4 linked regions of the Schizosaccharomyces pombe genome follow. The main gene of each other region encodes a partner of the protein of the gene in region 4 in a complex. Each region holds a gene or a part of one and is shown on either strand. Other genes may lie near its edges.

Region 1 (4,370 bases), 2.3 Mb from region 4:
CTACCCCGATTCCACACATGGTACATGGTATTCCTTGGCTTCAAGATTTATATATATTTCCATCTCGTACAGTAGATGTGAATTTCGAAGGTCCGCCCCTTTCCCAGGAAAGATTGTATAGTATTTTTAGGACATATGGAAAACTAAGATCCGTGACCATTAATTCACCTACTTCTGCTACTTTGAGTTTTTCATCGCTAAGGTCCGCTACGTCAGCTTTAAACTGTATGCATGGTTTTGTTTATGGGAAAACAGAATTCCACATGCGATACAGACATATGAACCGCTTTGTCGCCTTCAAAGACTGGTTATTCTCTCATCCTCGTTTTACTATTCCTTTGGTTGCGGCGGCTATTACAGTTTTAACGGCTTCTTTATTCGATCCGATAAGAAAGTTCTTTGTCGAGACAAACATTGTACATGGTCAGAAGTTGAGAAATATCAATGTTGTTGGGTGGGTCAAAAAGAAAACTCGCGATATAGTTTTGAGTCCCTTTCACGAAAATGGTACAAATATAAAGGCACCGATTTGGACAACACGTGAAAAGGATTGTGAACAGTTGAAAGAATGGTTGGATGAAGCATTACATTCTTTTATTGTTGTTCAAGGTCCTCGTGGTAGTGGTAAGCGTGATCTGGTAGATCGAGTTGTTAAAGAACGAAAAAATGTTTTGTTTTTCGACTGTGATCGCTTATTCTCCACTACTAATACGGAAATGTTCGTAAGTACTCTTGCTAGCCAAACGGGGTATTTCCCCCTCTTTAGCTTCCTAAACAACATATCGTCACTTATCGATATGGCTGCACAAGGTCTCATAGGACAAAAAACGGGAATTGTTTCTTCTAGTGAAGGACAAGTGCGGCAAATTCTTAACACAACACAAACGGTATTGCGTTCTCTAGCATTACGAGAGCATAAAGAAGCCGATACTAGTGTGTTGGATGAATCTGAGTTTTTAGAAGTTCATGCAGATCGCTTACCTGTTGTTATTCTCGACAATTTCCAGCTTCGTAAATTATCAAACCCGATGCAGAGAGTGGTTGCTGAATGGGCTGGTAATTTGGTAAAGGAAGGAATTGCTCATGTACTAATGCTAACACCCGATGTTGGAGGCACCAAGTCATTAGAGCAATATGTCAACGGTTGGGAAAATAGAACATTGTTATTAGGAGATGCTGACCCTGTACTTGCTCAGCGATATGTCATAGAGTCTTTACCCGAAGAGATGCAAACAGAAGAATTGAGGAAAGAATTGCGGGTCCAATTACCGAAGATTGGTGGCCGACTTCGTGATCTTGATTATGTAGCTCGTAGGTTGCGGGTTAATTCTTCCAGTGTTTCTGAAGCAATTGGCGGTATTGTAAGTCAAAATGCCTCTGATATTTTGCAAACATTTTTACGGCCTGCTTCTTTAACCAGTGAGGAGAAGCCAACGTTCACTCCAGAAGAGTCATGGACCTTAATTACTTATTTATCTCAACATGAATATATACCCTATCATATGTTGATGCTTGACCCACTGTTCAAAGGACACGACGATGCCGTTCGTGCCTTGGAAGAATCAGAATTGATTACTATTACCACAGTGAATGCAAGACCGGATAAAGTCTACGCTGGAAAACCTGTATATGTTACGGCTTTCCGGCAACTTGTAAATGATCCAGTATTAAGTGCTAATATGCAGTTGGTGAGATGTAACGCGTTAATTGGCATGGCTAACAATGCTATCAAGAATGATGAACAGGAGCTACAAATGCTAAAGGACCTTGGGAACCTTGAATCAGGTGTGAAGGATCGTGCTCATTACTTAACGACGCGTATCCAGAAAAATCAAGGTGTTATTACTGATAATGAGAAAAGTATAGAAAGGCTTACTGAGGCTTTGAAAAAAATCGACTAAGATGCGAAAGCATATCATTTAAGATTACGTATGTTTTTATGAATTCTTTAGCATGAAGCTATAATGTCAACAATAATATCACATTTAATGACTACGCATTAACGAGAGAGAAGGGAGTAAGGATTTGGTAGGTAGTCCAAAAATCGTCGTAATATGAAGTGAGCGTAATGAAGAATTAGCCTAGGTAGAAAAAAAAAGAAGAAGCGAAACCGGTTATAGTCATTAACCTTGACGGGTTTTATGTCTCGGATGTTTTTTGCATAGTACATACAACCTACCTTTGCGACGCACAAAATAGCAGGATGAACAACGCTTTTTTACTGATGCTTTCACTTTGAAACCTCTTGAAAAGTTCCAAGGTAGAAGGCTAGGAGAAAGTCTGAAAGCAGGGGTTAAGAACATAGATGCATTTTTTAACAACCCTTTTTGTGCATTAAAAGCAGAAGGGAAGACTCGTGACAAAACACCCACAGCAAAAAATTTACGACCTAATGAAGCCATTATAAGTTAAAAAAAAAGTGAAACTGGGACTTCAAGTCAAGATGTTTAAATTTTTTTGGATCCGAAGTAATTCTGAGCTAAATAAATGATGTACGATGGAAAAGTGTTCACAATTTGGACTGAGCCAAAAAAGAACGATAATAGAAAATGCCTATCAACAAGAGAAGATTTTCATAAAAAAAAAAGGTGAATACTAAGTTATATAAACTCGCTTACGCCCGATTTGTTGGATATTCTTTGTTGGGAAAATAAATAGTAGTTAGTGCTTCTAGTAAGCTAACCTACGACATGTCAGTTAGTGACAACCAACATGTCTTGTTATTCTATAAATTCAATAGCCAGCTTACTGTGGAGCAATTTGACCTGAAATTTATCACATTATTTTAAAATAAGGAATACTTTTATTAAAGTGGAGTCAACTCAACAGTGTAGCTCCATTTTTTGTTTACAAATGAAAATTTTAATGTTGAGTCTCTGACCTTCTTAGTCCCTAAAATAGCTAATTGACCGCATCATCTAATAACTTTGATTCTACGTTATTTGGTTTGGCATGCTAATCGATTAATTTGAAATGATCAATTTTTGAGAATTTGTTTATGTTTTTAGTTGCTGGTATAACGAGTTCGTTATACTTTGCTAATTTGGGTATGGAACTGGAGTGCAGATGCGTCATTTGCCTTGGTAAAAGATTGTTAAAGGAAAATTTAGCAAATCCCACGAATTGGTGGATGTCTCAAAAACACCAAAATATTCAATCCAAAGGCTGAAAAATAGATTGCTATGCAGCAAAATGTTAAAGAGAAACATGCTGGCAAAAGTGACACATCAGTGAGTTCTTTGGAGTGTGAAATCGATTATCATATCGAAGGGTCAGATGGCATACCTGTTGTGGAACCAGTAAGTTTACGCGAAAAATATTAAATATTTTGTGGATGTTAACAAAATTTGTTTAGAAAATTTCAGAATTTGTAGATATGGAAAGTTTTATTCGGCGCGTTGAAAGGCTTGGCAAGAAATACGGCGCAATTAAAGTTGTTCGTCCTAGTTCTGTTTTAAATCCTTGGAACGAAGATACAATGAAACCTTCCGATGTAAAAATGGATTTATGGTTAGAGCGAATGGTGAGACGGAAAGGAGAGTACTTCGAGATTCAAAGCGATATAGACCATGGCTCGGCTGGTCCTAAAAAGCCTACCGATATGAATGTCGACGACAGGTTTCCTTCAAACGCTGGAAGTTCTAATGACTTTGAAAACAATGTGGCTAAAGCTATTGCATATTATTGGCGTTCTTTGACCCATGACAGTCTGTGGTATGGATATACTAATCGCCCATCGATCCCCTTCTATTTTATACCTTCGATATCTGCTGCTCAAAAAGATAGGGTACATTTAAGATCGAATACATTGATTAACACTTGGCCAAATGTTGGTCACTTATTTGCTGGGAAATGGAAAACTACCCTTCCTTGGCGGGTAGAATCTCCTGAGCTGCATGCAGTTCAGGTACATTTAGGTGGCTCTTCATTGCAATGGTATGTGATACCTTCAGCACATAGTGAGTCTTTTAAAAAATTAGCTGGAAAGCTTGCGCAAGATGAGCATTGGCGTTGTTCAGATTTTTTGCTTCACCAGAATATTTTGTTTCCCCCTTCAACTCTAGTACAAAATGGTATTGTTACTTATTCAACAGTCCTTAAACAGGATGAACTGCTTATAACCTTTCCAGGCACACATCATAGTGCATTTTGTCTAGGAGACGCTGTTTTACGACGTTTTGTCTTTCGTTCACCAAGATCTGCTTCCAACTATGAATTTTCTAATTTACGAAGACTTATGGTTTCAGAATCCCTTTATTCCTCTAAATCTTTATGGCCACATTCGCATAAGCCTCAACGTGCTTGTTCTCAAAAGTTCCTGGATGAGTTTTACTTGCATGATTTACCCGAATCCAACATCCATGATAGTG
Region 2 (5,132 bases), on a different chromosome or scaffold from region 4:
AAAGGAAATCCAAATGTTATGATTGTTTTGGAATTTTTGGAGAGTCTAATTCAAGATTTGACACATTATTTTGGGAAACTGAATGAAAATACAGTCAAAGACAATGTCTCCTTTATTTTCGAGTTGCTGGATGAAATGATAGACTATGGTATCATTCAGACTACTGAACCTGACGCACTTGCAAGATCTGTCAGCATAACAGCTGTCAAAAAGAAAGGCAATGCACTGTCCTTGAAAAGGTCTCATTCCTCTCAGTTGGCACACACCACTTCCTCTGAAATACCAGGGTCTGTACCATGGCGTAGAGCTGGCATTAAGTATAGAAAAAATAGTATCTACATTGATATTGTTGAAAGAATGAATTTACTTATTAGCTCTACTGGAAATGTGCTACGCTCAGATGTTTCTGGTGTCGTGAAAATGCGTGCAATGCTTTCTGGAATGCCTGAATGTCAGTTTGGGCTAAATGATAAGCTTGATTTTAAATTAAAACAATCAGAAAGCAAGTCTAAATCAAATAACTCTAGAAATCCGTCCTCAGTTAACGGAGGATTTGTCATTTTAGAAGATTGCCAGTTTCATCAATGTGTTAGATTGCCGGAATTTGAAAATGAACACAGAATTACTTTCATTCCGCCGGATGGTGAGGTTGAATTAATGAGTTATCGTTCACATGAAAACATAAATATTCCTTTTAGAATTGTTCCTATTGTCGAACAGTTGTCGAAACAAAAAATTATTTATCGTATCAGTATACGAGCAGACTATCCACACAAACTTTCTTCTTCTTTGAACTTTCGGATACCGGTTCCCACAAATGTGGTAAAAGCTAATCCTCGTGTAAATCGAGGAAAGGCAGGGTACGAGCCCTCTGAAAATATTATCAATTGGAAAATTCCCCGGTTTTTAGGCGAAACTGAACTTATTTTTTACGCTGAGGTAGAGTTATCTAATACAACTAACCAGCAAATATGGGCGAAGCCTCCAATATCCTTAGATTTCAATATTCTTATGTTTACCAGCTCCGGTCTACATGTGCAATACTTAAGGGTCAGTGAACCTTCTAATAGCAAATACAAAAGTATTAAATGGGTAAGGTACTCAACTAGGGCTGGAACTTGCGAGATACGCATTTAAGAAGTATTGTGATACAAAATTATTATTTTATTAATTGACGACCGTGCTTTTCCGACATGAAAAGAATTTCCAAAATAGTTTTAGAACATTTCAAAATGAAACAAGTGGCGTTGAAAGTTTAATAGATGAAAGAAGAGAGGTTATAATGAATGCAATTAAACACCATACCGCTTCGATGAGGCATTTGAGGCTATAATTATGCTTTTGTAGGCATTAATGAATAGACGGAAACCAAAATAAAACATTACCTGGGAAATGAAAAAAATACTAATACTTTTTCTTTAAAAGTCTAGCGATTTTCTGTTGTGATTCGAGTATCTGCTTATCTTGTAACTTACTTAACTCTTCGTTCACCCGTTTCATGTCAACTTGTTCAAGGACCTTTGGATACCTGCTCAGGGTTTTCACATTAGAACCATCAGGAAGTAATTCACCCTCCTGCCAATCTTTCAAATCATTTGGGGCATTTGGGTAAACGAAAGGTTCTTCCATCTCAACGATGACGCGTTTTTCAGATTGTGGTCTCTTAACCTGTCCTAGTTGATTTCTAAAAAGTTTGCCCTGATAAATTCTTGACTTAACTGATACGACTTTTAAATTGTACACATGTTGCAAATAATCGCGAACATCAAACTTGTTAACATGAAGAGGTACGCGAAATACTGCAAATTTAGGTTGAAGATTTAGTCCTCTGCATAACGTGAACGTTATATTTGGAAAGTACACTAATCTTTTCCCAGCAATTTTACTCATATTTACTATTGAGTTTCAACTTCAAGGCTAAAGCAACTTGTGCTAGTTATGCAAAAAAAGAGAAACAAATGGTTTTTCTCAACAGTAGATTTCAAGATGAATTTGATGTCAACGGCCTTAGGTAAACGATTAGTTATTAACCATTTGTTGGATTACGGAGTTCAAATGTTGTTTAGTACTAACGTGCTGAGAATCCGGTTGCTTTATTGCATCAAAGCTCAGTTGTATACTATTAACAAATAACGTCTCTGGTTGTATTATCCTAGAACGTAATATATGTAAGCTACGCAATTTGGTATCTGATTTAAGGATACGTAGAACTGCGGTGAGTTTTCCTTGTGATCTATTATATTGTAATACGCAAGTAGTATAAGTAGGAATTGGATATAGGTATTCTAATATATAGGATATATCGTTATCTATAGCTGAGATATCTTATAACTGAACTGAGGAATCAAATTCAGTTGTTCTCAATTTATAACATTTGAAATAACAAGGATTATAACTGATAGTCATCTTATCATAAATGATATTATATCCTTCTAGATAACTTATCATGTAAAGCTGATAGAGCAAATAGAACATTATGAACATGTGACATATAGTGATACACAACGTAGTATATCGTAGCGTAGTGTAGTATTGCTGACATATAAAGCAGCTTATTTCAAGTTCGTTATAGTTTATTAAAATACGTTGGATTACTTATTTTTAATATAAAGAAACGCAGCAGAACAATTGAAATGAGAATGTTAAATCAAACTTAAGAAGGCCCTTTTGATAGTTGTTATTCATACGGTAAATTTTCTTGCCAGCGACACTAGAGAACTAAAAAATCAACAAAAGTGCAGCTCACTCGTCTTAAATGTCCGGATTCCAGACGTCCGACGAGGTCGATATATCAAATTCTTTAAAAGCTTTTCCTGTTGATATTGCTACTGATAATCAAAAAGATAAGCACGAAAATGTTGGTGAAAATGTGAGCGATGAAGATGATGGTAATTATATTGCCTCGAAGCTTTTGGAGTCTAACAGGAGGACGAAGGGAAAAAAGGGGAATGGAAAGGCTTCTAATTTCCAATCGATGGGTATGTTAACTTCGTGATTACTTGCCATAAGGTCACTTTGCATTATGCTTCAAGACACTGTAATCTAAATTACTTTGATATTTTTCTAACTTAATTATAGGATTGAATCAAACTTTACTTCGAGCAATATTTAAGAAGGGTTTTAAAGCTCCTACGCCGATTCAGCGCAAAACGATTCCCCTTTTATTGGAAGGTCGTGATGTTGTAGGTATGGCACGTACTGGATCAGGTAAAACTGCAGCTTTTGTTATACCTATGATTGAGCATTTGAAGTCCACTCTAGCAAACTCTAATACTCGCGCCTTAATTCTCTCGCCAAATCGAGAACTTGCTCTTCAGACTGTGAAAGTCGTCAAAGACTTTTCTAAAGGTACGGATCTTCGATCTGTCGCTATCGTCGGTGGCGTCAGTCTAGAGGAGCAATTTAGTTTGCTATCCGGAAAACCCGATATTGTGGTCGCAACTCCTGGAAGATTTCTACATTTAAAGGTGGAAATGAAATTGGAGTTGAGTTCAATCGAGTATGTCGTTTTCGATGAGGCCGATAGACTTTTTGAAATGGGTTTTGCTGCTCAATTGACAGAGATTTTACATGCTTTGCCGACTTCTCGTCAAACTCTTCTCTTCTCTGCCACACTTCCACGTACTCTTGTTGATTTTGCAAAGGCTGGACTTCAAGACCCGGTTCTTGTACGCCTTGATGTAGAATCCAAGGTTTCCGCGGATCTACAAAGTGCCTTTTTTTCTGTTAAAACCGCTGAACGCGAAGCTGCTCTCTTATGTATACTACAAGATATCATTAAGCTTCCTCTAAAAGATAACGTGCGCCCAAGAGAAATAGGAAATGTCAATAATCCGAAGAAAAGAAAACGTGCATTAGAATTAGCGCTTAAAGGAAGTGAATCTGGATCACCAGATTCTACTCTAGTATTTGTTCCTACAAAACATCATGTCGAGTATGTTTCTGAGTTACTTGTTCAAGCAGGATATTCGGTTTCAAAAATTTACGGGTCTTTGGACCAAGAAGCGCGTCTCAATGAAATTAATAATTTTCGACTTGGAAAAACAAATTTACTAGTCGTTACAGACGTAGCTTCTCGTGGTATTGACATCCCATTACTTGCTAATGTTATTAATTATGATTTCCCTCCTCAACCAAAAGTTTTTGTTCACCGTGTAGGACGTACAGCTCGAGCAGGACGCACTGGCTGGGCGTATTCATTGGTTAGAGCAGAAGATGCTGGTTATTTATTAGACTTACAACTATTTTTAAACCGACCTTTAGTTACATCCTCGAAGCAGGTTAAAACTGACTCGGATTGTGATTTTACAAAACAGATTGTTTTGGGATCATTACCCCAAGAACTTGTTGCTGAGCTACTAGAATGGGTACAAAGAATAGTTTCGAGAGACGTTGAGCTACAGCAACTTTCCAACGTTGCTGCAAGGGGTGAGAAACTATATTTTCGCACAAGAGCTACTTGTAGTGCTGAGAGTGCTAAAAGAGCTAAGGAATTGGTTGATAGCAAGGGCTGGAGTTCCAACAATCCATTATTTGGAGATGTATCGGTAATTGAGGCCGAGGAGAAATATGCTGAATTGCTTTCAAAAGTTTCTTCTTATCGGCCATCAGAAACAGTATTTGAAATCGGTCAGCGTGGTCACTTAAAGACAGAAGCTGCAGAAATCATGCGGAAAAGAAGAAACAAAGTAAAACCAAAAGGAATAAAATCTGAAGTTGCATCTGATAAAATCACTGACAGTTCTCCTGGTAATATGTCAGAAGCTTCAGAGTCAGAGCTTGAAGAGGTATTTAAAAATCCTAAGGAGTTATCAAAAAAGAAGACAACTGATTTTAAAGATAAAGAGTATTATATGTCTCATTACGCTCCAAAGGAATCTATTCAAGAAACTGGCTATGCTATAAATTCTGGTGAAAATTTTACTACCGCAGCTCGTCATGCTATTCTCGATTTAACAAATGACGAAGGAATTGAACAATCAAGGAAGGGGGGACAACGTTGGGATCCAAAGAAAAAGAAATTTGTTAATATAATTAACGACGAAGACGGGTCCAAAGGGTCTCCCAAGATAATTCGTGGCGAAAGCGGCGTGAAATTGCCTGCAACATATCGTAGTGGTCGTTTTGATGAA
Region 3 (4,796 bases), on a different chromosome or scaffold from region 4:
GACAGGTTATAAATCTTCTGCTGCGAATATAAACATTGCAGAGTTGGCACGGGAAACATTCAAGGATGAATTTCCCATGATTGAAAAGCTTCTGCGTGAAGATGAAGAAGGTAATCTGTGGTTTCACGCTTCTGAAGATGCCAAAAAGTTTGCGGAGGTCTATGGACACAGTCCTCCTGCAAGTCCATCTCGCACTCCTGCGTCTCCAAAGTCCGATTCGGCTTTAATGGATGAGGACTCTGATTTAAGCCGTCGACACTCTTTATCTGAACAGTCTTTGAGCCCAGTTTCCGAGTCATATCCTCAATATGCTAAAACCCTTCGTTTAACCTCTGATCAGCTTCGTTCATTAAATTTGAAGCCCGGTAAAAATGAGCTTTCCTTTGGAGTCAACGGGGGTAAGGCCATTTGCACTGCTAATCTTTTTTTTTGGAAACACAACGATCCTGTCGTTATATCGGACATTGATGGAACAATTACCAAATCTGATGCTCTAGGGCATATGTTTACCTTGATCGGCAAGGATTGGACTCATGCTGGAGTTGCCAAATTGTATACCGATATCACTAACAACGGCTACAAAATTATGTATTTAACTAGTCGTTCGGTAGGCCAAGCCGATTCTACTCGACATTATCTCCGGAATATTGAACAGAACGGATACTCTCTACCCGATGGTCCTGTTATTTTATCACCTGATCGCACTATGGCTGCTCTTCATAGAGAAGTAATTTTAAGGAAGCCAGAAGTATTTAAAATGGCTTGTTTGCGTGATCTTTGTAATATTTTCGCCTTACCTGTTCCTCGAACACCATTTTACGCCGGCTTTGGCAATCGTATTACAGACGCAATATCTTATAACCATGTCAGAGTTCCACCAACTAGGATTTTTACCATTAATTCTGCTGGCGAAGTCCATATTGAACTGTTGCAGCGAAGCGGTCACCGAAGTAGTTATGTTTACATGAATGAGCTTGTCGATCATTTCTTCCCTCCCATCGAGGTTAGCACCCGAGATGAAGTCTCAAGCTTTACTGATGTGAATTTTTGGAGATCTCCTTTGCTTGAACTTAGCGATGAAGAAGAAGACGATACTAATAAAAGCACATCCAAGTCGCCCAAAACACCCAAAAATACGAAATTCGGATATCAAGAATTCGAGGGGATTGACGAGGAAGATGCTCAAGATTATTCTCCTAGTCCATTGATTAAGTCTTTCAATGAATTAATGTTTGAAGGTGAAGAAGATGAAGAAGGAGAAGAAGACGTTGAAAATGCTGTTTGAAGTTGCATTTTCCCAATTTCCGATGAAAAAAAAATTACTCGACTGTCCATCTTTTTTTTTAATGCCCCAAAATCTTAAAATCACTTTGACGAATTTCCGTCGGCTTTGAAATGCACTAATAAGCTTAGAAAGTTACATAAATCATATAATGACTTACTTACTCATTCACAAGTAATGAGTTTTGAGAAAGTGCTAAATATTTTTTTTATATTTAAATGCGCTCTTCCTAAAAATTAAAGATAACAAGATACTTCATAATGAAAAGTTACGAATAAATCACATTCTAAAATCCTAAGTCTGCAGATTCAAAACCTAATATTTAAATGTAATTTAACTATTAAAGTAGAATCATATTATTAGTAAAGATTACAAAAATGTATAGACTAGTATATTAGTCTTTTTATCATGCTGCACAATAAAAGACTTTTAGTAAACACATAATTGAGGTAATATAGCAGTAAATTTAAATGAATCTTTAAAAAAATTTAAGGAAGTCATAAACAAACAGGAATCAAAAGGTATTAACAGTATTACGTGAAACCCACTTTGCAGAAGAAGAATTTAGAAAGGAGAAGGTTTCGCTATTTTGCTAGCTTTTTGCTAAAAAGAGTGTTAATAAAGACAATTAAAAAAATAATAATAGTAAATTTTTCACAATCAAAATCAGTAGATAGAAATAAGAAAATCATGAAAGTACAACAGTTTACATACGCGCTCATTTTTAAATTTAGAAGTTTTCTTCAATGATTCCGAAAGTTTTAAACGCCTATTTTCCAAAATCTCATCCCTCTTTCGTTCACTAATTTTTCCTTTAGGATTCAGAAGACCTTTCAAAATATGGCGTGTAGAATCTTTCTGCCATGACATTTGTTGGGGGAGTAAATTATCCAGATTCTGAAGCCTGGCCTCTTTATATATTTCAGCTTGCCTTCTATTGGAATAGTAAGGGTTGATTACAAGGCCATTCTGAGGATTTCGAGTTGCGAGAAACGGATTTTGACGATTTGGATTTGTCGTCCATGCATTTGGATTTTCAGGCGGAAACTTTTTAAAAAAGTTTCCTAATTGGATAGGAAGCCGTTCCAAAGCTTCCTTGGTAAAGACTGGCATGATAAGGTTAAAACCTCTTTAATCTATAGAGAAGCTCAAAAAGACAGTGAGTCAAGCACTATTAGTATTAGAAAATACATTGACCTAAGATGTCGGCAAACGTTTAACTGCGCTATATTACGTTAAATCAATCATTACTGTTCATTCTTGAGTTCTTAATCGAAACTTTTCATCGTTTGAAATATTAAAAGAGTTTATTATCTCAGACAATTCTAAGCCAATTTATTGACTATTAGCGTTTATTAGGTCGGACTAATTCTTAGTTACTCAATTTAGTTCCAATGGATATACTAATTAATATAATATTACGGTGTAGCAGTACTATAGTTAATAAATACAAAATTATCCAGGGTATTATTTTATACAAATATAAAAATCACTAACATATTTCGTTATTATGTATATCGTTGTTAAATTAGCAACTATACAAACTCCTTAAAATATTTTACATACTGCGTAGATGGCTTCCTCTCGCATTAGTCCCTCTACCTTAGGCATCTTTGTTGGGTTGCGTTATTTAATTATTGAAGGCTGACAGTATGTGTGATTGTGTTCCGCCAACGTAGCATTCAAACGCTTTCAATCATTATCGTTTTTAGTTGTGATTGCTTCTATGATTCCATCAAATGAGGCCCGTTCAAGTAAGCTGTGTGTGGTTATAGAGTTTCTGATGCCAGTAAAATTATCATATCAGATCATGTACGGATTCCTACTGACACATGTTGAGAGTAAGCAAAAAAAGCTCAATCATGCTTATTTTGAGTATTTTAAAACATAAATAAAAGTAAAAATTATTGTAGGAAAAGTCCGGTCATCTCTCGATGACTCCAATTAGTGGAGAATATAAGAAATACTAAAGGAATTATTTATAATGACATGTAACGCAGTGTGACATAAAGTTAGTAGTGCATAGAACTGTTGGTGATATCAAGTTGACAAGGAATCGATAAGACGCTCTTTAATGTTGAATATTAATAAGCCCTGTAAGTATCCCTGTTCTTCTAGTTAGGTCTATAGCTGAAAAACCTTCAATTCTCTGGAGCTTGTGTGGTTTTATCCATTATCACTTCCTTCGATTTATCCCTCGTAAGGAATAGGATAGCAATGCGTATAGATCAAATCGCGGATTATGAATGAAGGCTTGTGCGATAAATTTCCTTTACTTGATCAATAATCTTGTTGTCAACGCGTTGTATTAAATGCGCTTTATTGGAAAAGAAGAAACATAGCTTGTTGATTGAAATTCCAAAGTTTCTTGTAAACGAATTTGGAAAGCACTTCTGTACTTGAAAATAATACAAATTGGCCACTATATATTCGCTTTTTTTGTTCCTTTGTTTCTTTTATCCATCAATTTTTAAAAGCAGAAAACCTTTCCCTTATGCCCAAGATTTAAAAGGGAACATAATATCAAAGTTCATCGAATGGATATGATGATCAACACTTTCACCACAACGTTCTTTGTACATTGAATTTCCAGAAAAATTCCACCAAATGTTGTGAATATTTTAGGATAACAAAAGGAGTCAAATTGGAAAGGCAAGAAATGAATGTGTGTTAAATAGTGGCCCTCAATATATTACTATTAGGAAATGTCTTCGGGAAATAGCATATCTTTGAGGCCAATCAAAAGGATGGATGGAGCAGAGTAGGCACTCTTAGACAACTCTTGTTTATCAGTTTGTAATTCTTCATTTGTGATTATGTCTCTTAAGATTTGGACACATTTGCTTGCGGCAGATGAAAGCTGAGCATCGAAGGAGTGTAGACAAGGGAAGTATATCTCAGCGTACGAAAAAAAACATTCACTATATAACAACCGGATAGATGGGTTATCGTTTTTGCAATATGTGAAGCATATTTTCATCCGTTTAACAATTTGATCTAGTAATTTTTCCAATTGCTCTACGGAAGCGAATGAGAGCTTGTTAAATATCAGTTGCTCCAAAAATACGTAAAATTCCAAAAATTTCGCTCTGGAAATCACTCCAGTTCCATTGTTGGCATTGTTTTGCATAATCGACTGCGTGATTATAATGAGATCCAGTACATAATCTCCCAATTCAACTAGTCTTGTTAAAACCAACGGCGACTTACAATCTCTTTTAAGAAACATAAAAATTTCTTCGAATAAAGTTTTAATGCGCAAAAAATCCGCACCCTCGTATACTTTTGTTTGCTTCAACTTTATGTCAGCAGTGCATTTTAAGAATCGAAAAAGTCCATTAAACGTGTACTCAATATCCAGATGCGCAAGGCTTCCGGATGTTTGCCTCTTTTCCTGAAGATTCTCGTGAACATTGGTCAGCAAAAAGATATCTAGATTGGATTGTTAACGAAAGAAAATTCATACTATTTTAGATCAAAAAGGCTTTCTTTAATATAACTAATGCTTTAGATA
Region 4 (5,726 bases):
TAACTTATTTGAATATTACCGATTATAGGTGTATAAGGAAAAAAAATGTGATTCCTATAATCAGTCATTTTTTATATTTTAATAATCTTCCCTTCAATTAGAACTTTGAAATTTTGATAAATTACATTTTATTGGTAATAATGAATAAAAAAATGTTTCTTCACGTACTAGATGATCATATCCAGTTTATCATACTGTAAGTTCAATTCTATAGAATCCAAATAGGAACTGAGCATTAATTAGTCAATATTTTATTTATAAAATGAAAGAATTGATTATTATTACAGTCTTCATTTTGGCTAACAATTATTATTTTTCTTTCTCCCAGTCACAAGTAGACAGCGTCATTCGACGTTGACACCAATAGACACTAGTGACACGTAAATTTGAGCAATATTTTTGAACTGGTGCATTCTTTATTTTCAAGATATTAAAGGTTGACAGGGTTTCCTAAATTCTTTGAAACACCTCTTTTAGTAGCTGCTATACACATTTATTGAACAATTCCTATTTTCTTTATCAGGTTTGCCAGTGTTTTCAATCGAAAATACCCATTGTAATTAGTTTATTTATTTTTTTGATTCTTGATAAGGAAATGCTCTTCTGAAAGTCAATAATTGGTGAACATGATTAGTTTTTCTCACTGGAATTCTCACATACGTTCGGGACTTAGTCTAAGCATGATTCCTTCTGCAAACTCTCGTTTTGCTTTCATTATTCAAAGAAATTATATTCCTGTCGTTAACTCGCAGAACACAAGATGGAAAAGGTTATGCGGGACACAGTCAGTTTGGTCACCATACAAAAAAAAGCACGTACTGGTTAATCGATTGAAGCATATATCTTTATTCCCCAAACCTATATTTGCAAGAAAGTTTACAACCCGACAAAAAAGTGAAGACCAGAAGCAATGGAGGATACTAAGGATTACATTTCTTGTCCTCCCTTTTACGGTCGGAGGATTATGGATTTTATACAGAGTCAAAAATCGAAAGAATAATATTTTCTCCTTTGACGAACTTGAATTAGAAGAGAGAAGCAATCGACCTCGTTCTATTTTTGGAAAAATAAAACAATTTTTTAATATTCTCCTCAGGTCATTTAATTTATTTATTATTTTCTCTCCAATTATTATTACCTTACCGTTTATCGCTCTTATTTCTTTCCTGCATCTTCGATCTTTGTCGTCTTTAACCGTATCCATTTGGCTTCGTTTCCTCGTTACTCAATTAGAAAGAGCAGGAGCAACGTTTATCAAGGTACGTTTTGAATTTACGCTTATCATGTTACTAACATTATTTTTTTATTTTGCAGTTGGGACAATGGGCTGCTTCACGGACAGATTTGTTTCCTCCTGCTTTCTGTAAAACACTGTCCAAATTACATTCACATGTAACGCCCCACAGCCTTGCCTATACTCAATCAGTCATCTGCAAGACTTATAAAGTGGAATCTATCGAGGAAATTTTTGTTAATTTTAACCCAATACCTATAGGTGTTGGAGCAATTGCTCAAGTCTATACGGCTACCATCAAGAAAGCAGCTACGCAGCAAGATAATTCCTACTTTACAAGTATGCTACAATCTATAGGGTTTCGACAGAAAAATATCTCTGATGCGCCAGTGACTCAAGATGTAGCCATTAAAGTTTTGCACCCGAATGTTGAAAAATACATTTCTTTAGACTTACAAATCTTAGGTTTCTTCGCAAAATTAATTAATTTGGTACCTTCAATGAAGTGGCTTTCTCTGCCCGACGAAGTTAAGGTATTTGGGGCAATGTTAAACCAGCAATTGAATTTACATTATGAGGCGCTTCATCTCAACCAGTTCCGTCTTAACTTTAGAGGAAATAGATATGTTGAATTTCCAGCTCCCTATGATGATTACACGACTAATCAAATCCTACTAGAAGACTATATGCCGGGTATCCCATTAAGCGCGTTCCTCAAACATAAGTCAGGACCATTTAACAAGTTGTTAGCTAACACAGGAAATAATGCATTATTTCAAATGCTTATTGTTGACAACTTTACACATGCTGATCTTCATCCGGGTAATGTCCTTGTTAAATTTTACAAAGGAATCCCTAAAACAATCTTTAATCAAGATAATGAGATTAATGACTCAATTTATAAAATTCTAAGTACATGTTCGACGGAGGAATGGGATTCTGCTATGGAAGAATTAAACATCTTGGGCTATCGACCGACTTTAGTATTTTTGGATGCTGGATTAGTAACGAAACTTAGTACGCAGGATCAGAAAAATTTTTTGGATCTGTTTCAAGCCGTACTTACTTTCCATGGCTATGAGGCTGGACTGTTGATGGTTGAAAGGAGCAGGCAGACAGAACGCGTTATAAACAAAGACATATTTGCTCTTAAAATGGAACATTTGTTGAATGAAATTCAAAAGAGCACGCTTTCACTGAAATCACTTCAAATAGGAACTATATTACAAGAAGTAATGACTATGGCGAGAGAGCATCATGTTCGAATTGAAGCAAATTTCGCAAATACTGTGCTATCTATCCTTTTAGTTGAAGGCGCTGGACGCCAACTATATCCAGAAATGGATCTATTAAGTAATGCTACACCATATCTTCGTTCTGCTTCATCGAAATCCAATGTCTCACTCACAAACCCAATGGTTCAATTATGGATAGCTTTAGAAGCTAGACAATTTTTGCTTTTAAGCACCTCTAAAGAAACGGTAGAAAAGTGGGTTAAGTCCGATATGATCGCACCCAATATATAAAAAAATTACGGTTTATTTTATAAATGATGGAAAATTGTTCATGAAAAATATAGTCGCAGACATGGAAAATAAATTTTATAAACTCGTGTTTTAAAGAAGTTATTAAAGTTCAAAGTTCAACAAGTAAAATTAAACAAAGAACCAATGGAAAGAAAATGTATCACAAACTAGAAAGCATTACTTAAATGAAGAATTGATAGAGGTTACTAATGCAAATTAGAGCCCATTAAAAGATAATATGTACTCAATGGCTCAGATACATCCTCCCTTTTTGTCTTCGATCTCGTAAAACACGACGACCGTTAACAGAACGAATTCGAGATAAAAATCCGTGTTTTCTTTTACGCTTTCTATTTGAGGGTTGATACTCGTTTCCATACGTTTTCCAACGCACTTGCTGCATTTGACCGAAGATGTTCATAGTCGGTAAAGAACTGTATAAAGTAGCGGTATTAAAAGGGTTTCTTGTCGGAAACCCTCTCATAGTTCCTCCTCCAGCTAATATTGAAATATTCCTGGCTCCCTTCATGGCAGGATGCAACAAATTTCGAAATTGTTGCATAAACATCATAAAGCAATAGGAATGAAAGCAGGTGACTGGATTTCAAGAGAAAAAATTTCAAAAAATAATATAAAAATTATATATGAACGTAAATGTGCAAAATGAAGAGATTTGAGATGTGATGGAGTAGCTGGTTATTAGAAAGGTTGAAGTGAATCAGTGTAGCACCGTTTGACATTCGAAGTGTTAAATTTCAAATATTTGTGTTACAATAAATTAAAATCTTTGCTAAAATCCAATAACTACGTTTTAATAGTTTCATTCAATTCACTGGAATGTCGGTAATATAATAATAATACTATTATTATTAATAAATAGTTCATTAACCATTCTTTATACGCCCTTAAAGAAAGCAACCTGAACCCCTAAAATTTGATATCGCTTTTGCTTTTTCCCAACAAATAATTGGCATGAGATTACCAAATAGTAAAATCCATCAGTTTAATGAATTCGATTCATGGGCTAAAAGTGATAATTTATAGTACAAAAAAGGTTTTAGCAGTTAAATGACATCTTATACTTTCTTTTATCTATTTTATTTTATTAATAATACCCAGTATTTTAAATTGGAAGCAAATTGCTGCAGTCCCGGCTTTTTAAATATTGAAAGCATATTAAATATACTCATATATGGGAGCATCAATACATTAAATTTATCAAAAGTTATTATTTTTTTTTGTTTTTACGTGACATAATAAAATGGAGAAAAGGAGCTCTAATCTGCTATTTAAAATATTTGTTAAAAAAAAGGCATCGACGATGAGAATTTAGCGTATTGTTCTGCATTGCGATATTTCTTTAAACATAGGGGTTCACGAAAGTACAGCCTCTGCCACCGTCTTTTAGGGGACTTTATTGTCATTGTGAAAGTACAGAAAAATAAGTGTTGGATTTTCTAGGAACTAAAAAATGGATTATCAAAACCGCGCAGGTGTTCGTTTTGGAGGAGGAGGCGTTGCTGGCTATCAAGAAACAAATGCTGCACGTAGAGAGCGTCTTCGTAAATTGGCGCTAGAAACCATTGATTTATCAAAGGTATGTTTAAAAACCACTGAATTCTGAAAATTTGAGTGCTGAATGTCAATTATAATTACCGATGAATTAATCGTGTAAAGTAAGACATGTACGTATGTTACATATTATTGAAGTTTATTAGTAGTTGCTGTTAAATTCGCTAACTATAACAACTAAAATAACAACAATAATAAATGAAAAGGATTTGCTTTCTACTTCCTTGTTTGCTGTTTTGCATGTTACACTAATTGGACATCTTTTTTTTACCCTGTCAATCACCTTGAAGCTTCCTCCTCAAACTCTTTGCGATGATATTTCTATTGCTAATCTCTTATAGGATCCATATTTGATGAAAAATCATTTAGGCACTTTTGAATGTCGTCTTTGCCTCACTACACATGCGAATGAAAACTCTTACCTTACCCATACACAAGGTAAAAAACACCAGACAAATTTAGCCAGGAGACAGGCTCTCGAAAATAAAAAGTCTCAAGAGAATGCACCACAAGTGTTGTTGGGCATTTCTCAATCCCATGTCCAGGTTAAAAAAAGTGTCGTAAAAATTGGTCGACCCGGTTATAAAGTGTCCAAAATAAGAGAAGCCGAAAGCGGAAAATTTGGCCTACGTTTCCAAATAAAGTATCCAGATATTGAAGTGAACGCTAAGCCAAGATACAGAATTATGAGTGCTTATGAACAGCGTGTTGAAGCTCCTGACCGAAAGTTTCAGTATCTGGTAGTGGCTGCTGAACCATACGAATCAATAGCCTTTAAAATTGGTATGTTGGTTTTACTGATTTTTTATTTATATTAACTTTGTTGCGCAGATGCTCACGAAATAGATCGTGCACCCGGGAAATTTTGGAGTTATTGGGATGCACCTACATATACTATCCAATTCTTTTACAACTTAACAAAAATATCGTAAATTTTGAGCTGCTATCCTAAATTTCCTTTTTATGAAACAAAATGTCTTTTCCAAATATTTCGCTCAGTCTCCCAATTTATCAATACCGCAGTTCTTTATGTGTGTAAAAGAATTCGAACTCAATCATTCTGAATTGTTTCTCCACACGTGAATTGTAGAAGAACCGTGCTAGCTAAACCTATTTTGGTGATTTATATACTTATTTTCCCAGATTTGTGGAAGTACCAATTGATAAAGTTGGCTAACTTCTACTGTATGGCGTTCGATAAATTAGCAAATGTCGCTACAGTGGACGCGATTTTTGCGATATCTAGCTCAACTTTCCTTTGGTCTACATGGGTTCTACAACGGACAATATTAAAACGGCCTAATTTTTTTTCTCCAAACCCAGTTGTTGAGAAAATGGTGCATCCAACTTTGATTACTTGGAAATTGTTTTCATTTACATCAGTATTAACTGTT

Evidence for each region.
Region 1: mrx14 (region 4) and rtc6 share a complex: the UniProt entries of both Schizosaccharomyces pombe proteins name them as parts of the mitochondrial large ribosomal subunit.
Region 2: mrx14 (region 4) and mrp20 share a complex: the UniProt entries of both Schizosaccharomyces pombe proteins name them as parts of the mitochondrial large ribosomal subunit.
Region 3: mrx14 (region 4) and mrpl25 share a complex: the UniProt entries of both Schizosaccharomyces pombe proteins name them as parts of the mitochondrial large ribosomal subunit.

The regions. Positions count from the first base shown.
Region 1 is NC_003423.3:1,518,089-1,522,458, forward strand, and holds rtc6 (mitochondrial 54S ribosomal protein bL36m), read right to left. Parts: upstream 2,403-4,370; coding exon 2,124-2,402; 3' UTR 1,942-2,123; downstream 1-1,941. Other genes in the region: RNA-binding protein Yme2, read left to right, coding at 1-1,901; Lid2 complex histone demethylase H3-K36 subunit Jmj3, read left to right, coding at 3,183-3,299, 3,356-4,370. UniProt on the Schizosaccharomyces pombe protein: Component of the mitochondrial ribosome (mitoribosome), a dedicated translation machinery responsible for the synthesis of mitochondrial genome-encoded proteins, including at least some of the essential transmembrane subunits of the mitochondrial respiratory chain.
Region 2 is NC_003424.3:399,818-404,949, reverse strand, and holds mrp20 (mitochondrial 54S ribosomal protein uL23m), read right to left. Parts: upstream 2,065-5,132; 5' UTR 1,891-2,064; coding exon 1,405-1,890; 3' UTR 1,138-1,404; downstream 1-1,137. Other genes in the region: AP-2 adaptor complex subunit Apm4, read left to right, coding at 1-1,137; ATP-dependent RNA helicase Dbp10, read left to right, coding at 2,756-2,978, 3,079-5,132. UniProt on the Schizosaccharomyces pombe protein: Component of the mitochondrial ribosome (mitoribosome), a dedicated translation machinery responsible for the synthesis of mitochondrial genome-encoded proteins, including at least some of the essential transmembrane subunits of the mitochondrial respiratory chain.
Region 3 is NC_003424.3:4,992,050-4,996,845, forward strand, and holds mrpl25 (mitochondrial 54S ribosomal protein mL59), read right to left. Parts: upstream 2,459-4,796; 5' UTR 2,396-2,458; coding exon 1,997-2,395; intron 1,886-1,996; coding exon 1,847-1,885; 3' UTR 1,575-1,846; downstream 1-1,574. Other genes in the region: lipin, phosphatidate phosphatase Ned1, read left to right, coding at 1-1,285; meiotic recombination protein Rec24, read right to left, coding at 3,981-4,714. UniProt on the Schizosaccharomyces pombe protein: Component of the mitochondrial ribosome (mitoribosome), a dedicated translation machinery responsible for the synthesis of mitochondrial genome-encoded proteins, including at least some of the essential transmembrane subunits of the mitochondrial respiratory chain.
Region 4 is NC_003423.3:3,801,571-3,807,296, forward strand, and holds mrx14 (mitochondrial 54S ribosomal protein bL34m), read right to left. Parts: upstream 3,459-5,726; 5' UTR 3,332-3,458; coding exon 3,005-3,331; 3' UTR 2,761-3,004; downstream 1-2,760. Other genes in the region: cqd1 (ABC1 kinase family protein ), read left to right, coding at 627-1,259, 1,315-2,760; U2 snRNP-associated protein Sap62, read left to right, coding at 4,232-4,357, 4,674-5,115, 5,179-5,264; SPOM_SPBC21C3.06 (uncharacterized protein), read left to right, coding at 5,520-5,726. UniProt on the Schizosaccharomyces pombe protein: Component of the mitochondrial ribosome (mitoribosome), a dedicated translation machinery responsible for the synthesis of mitochondrial genome-encoded proteins, including at least some of the essential transmembrane subunits of the mitochondrial respiratory chain.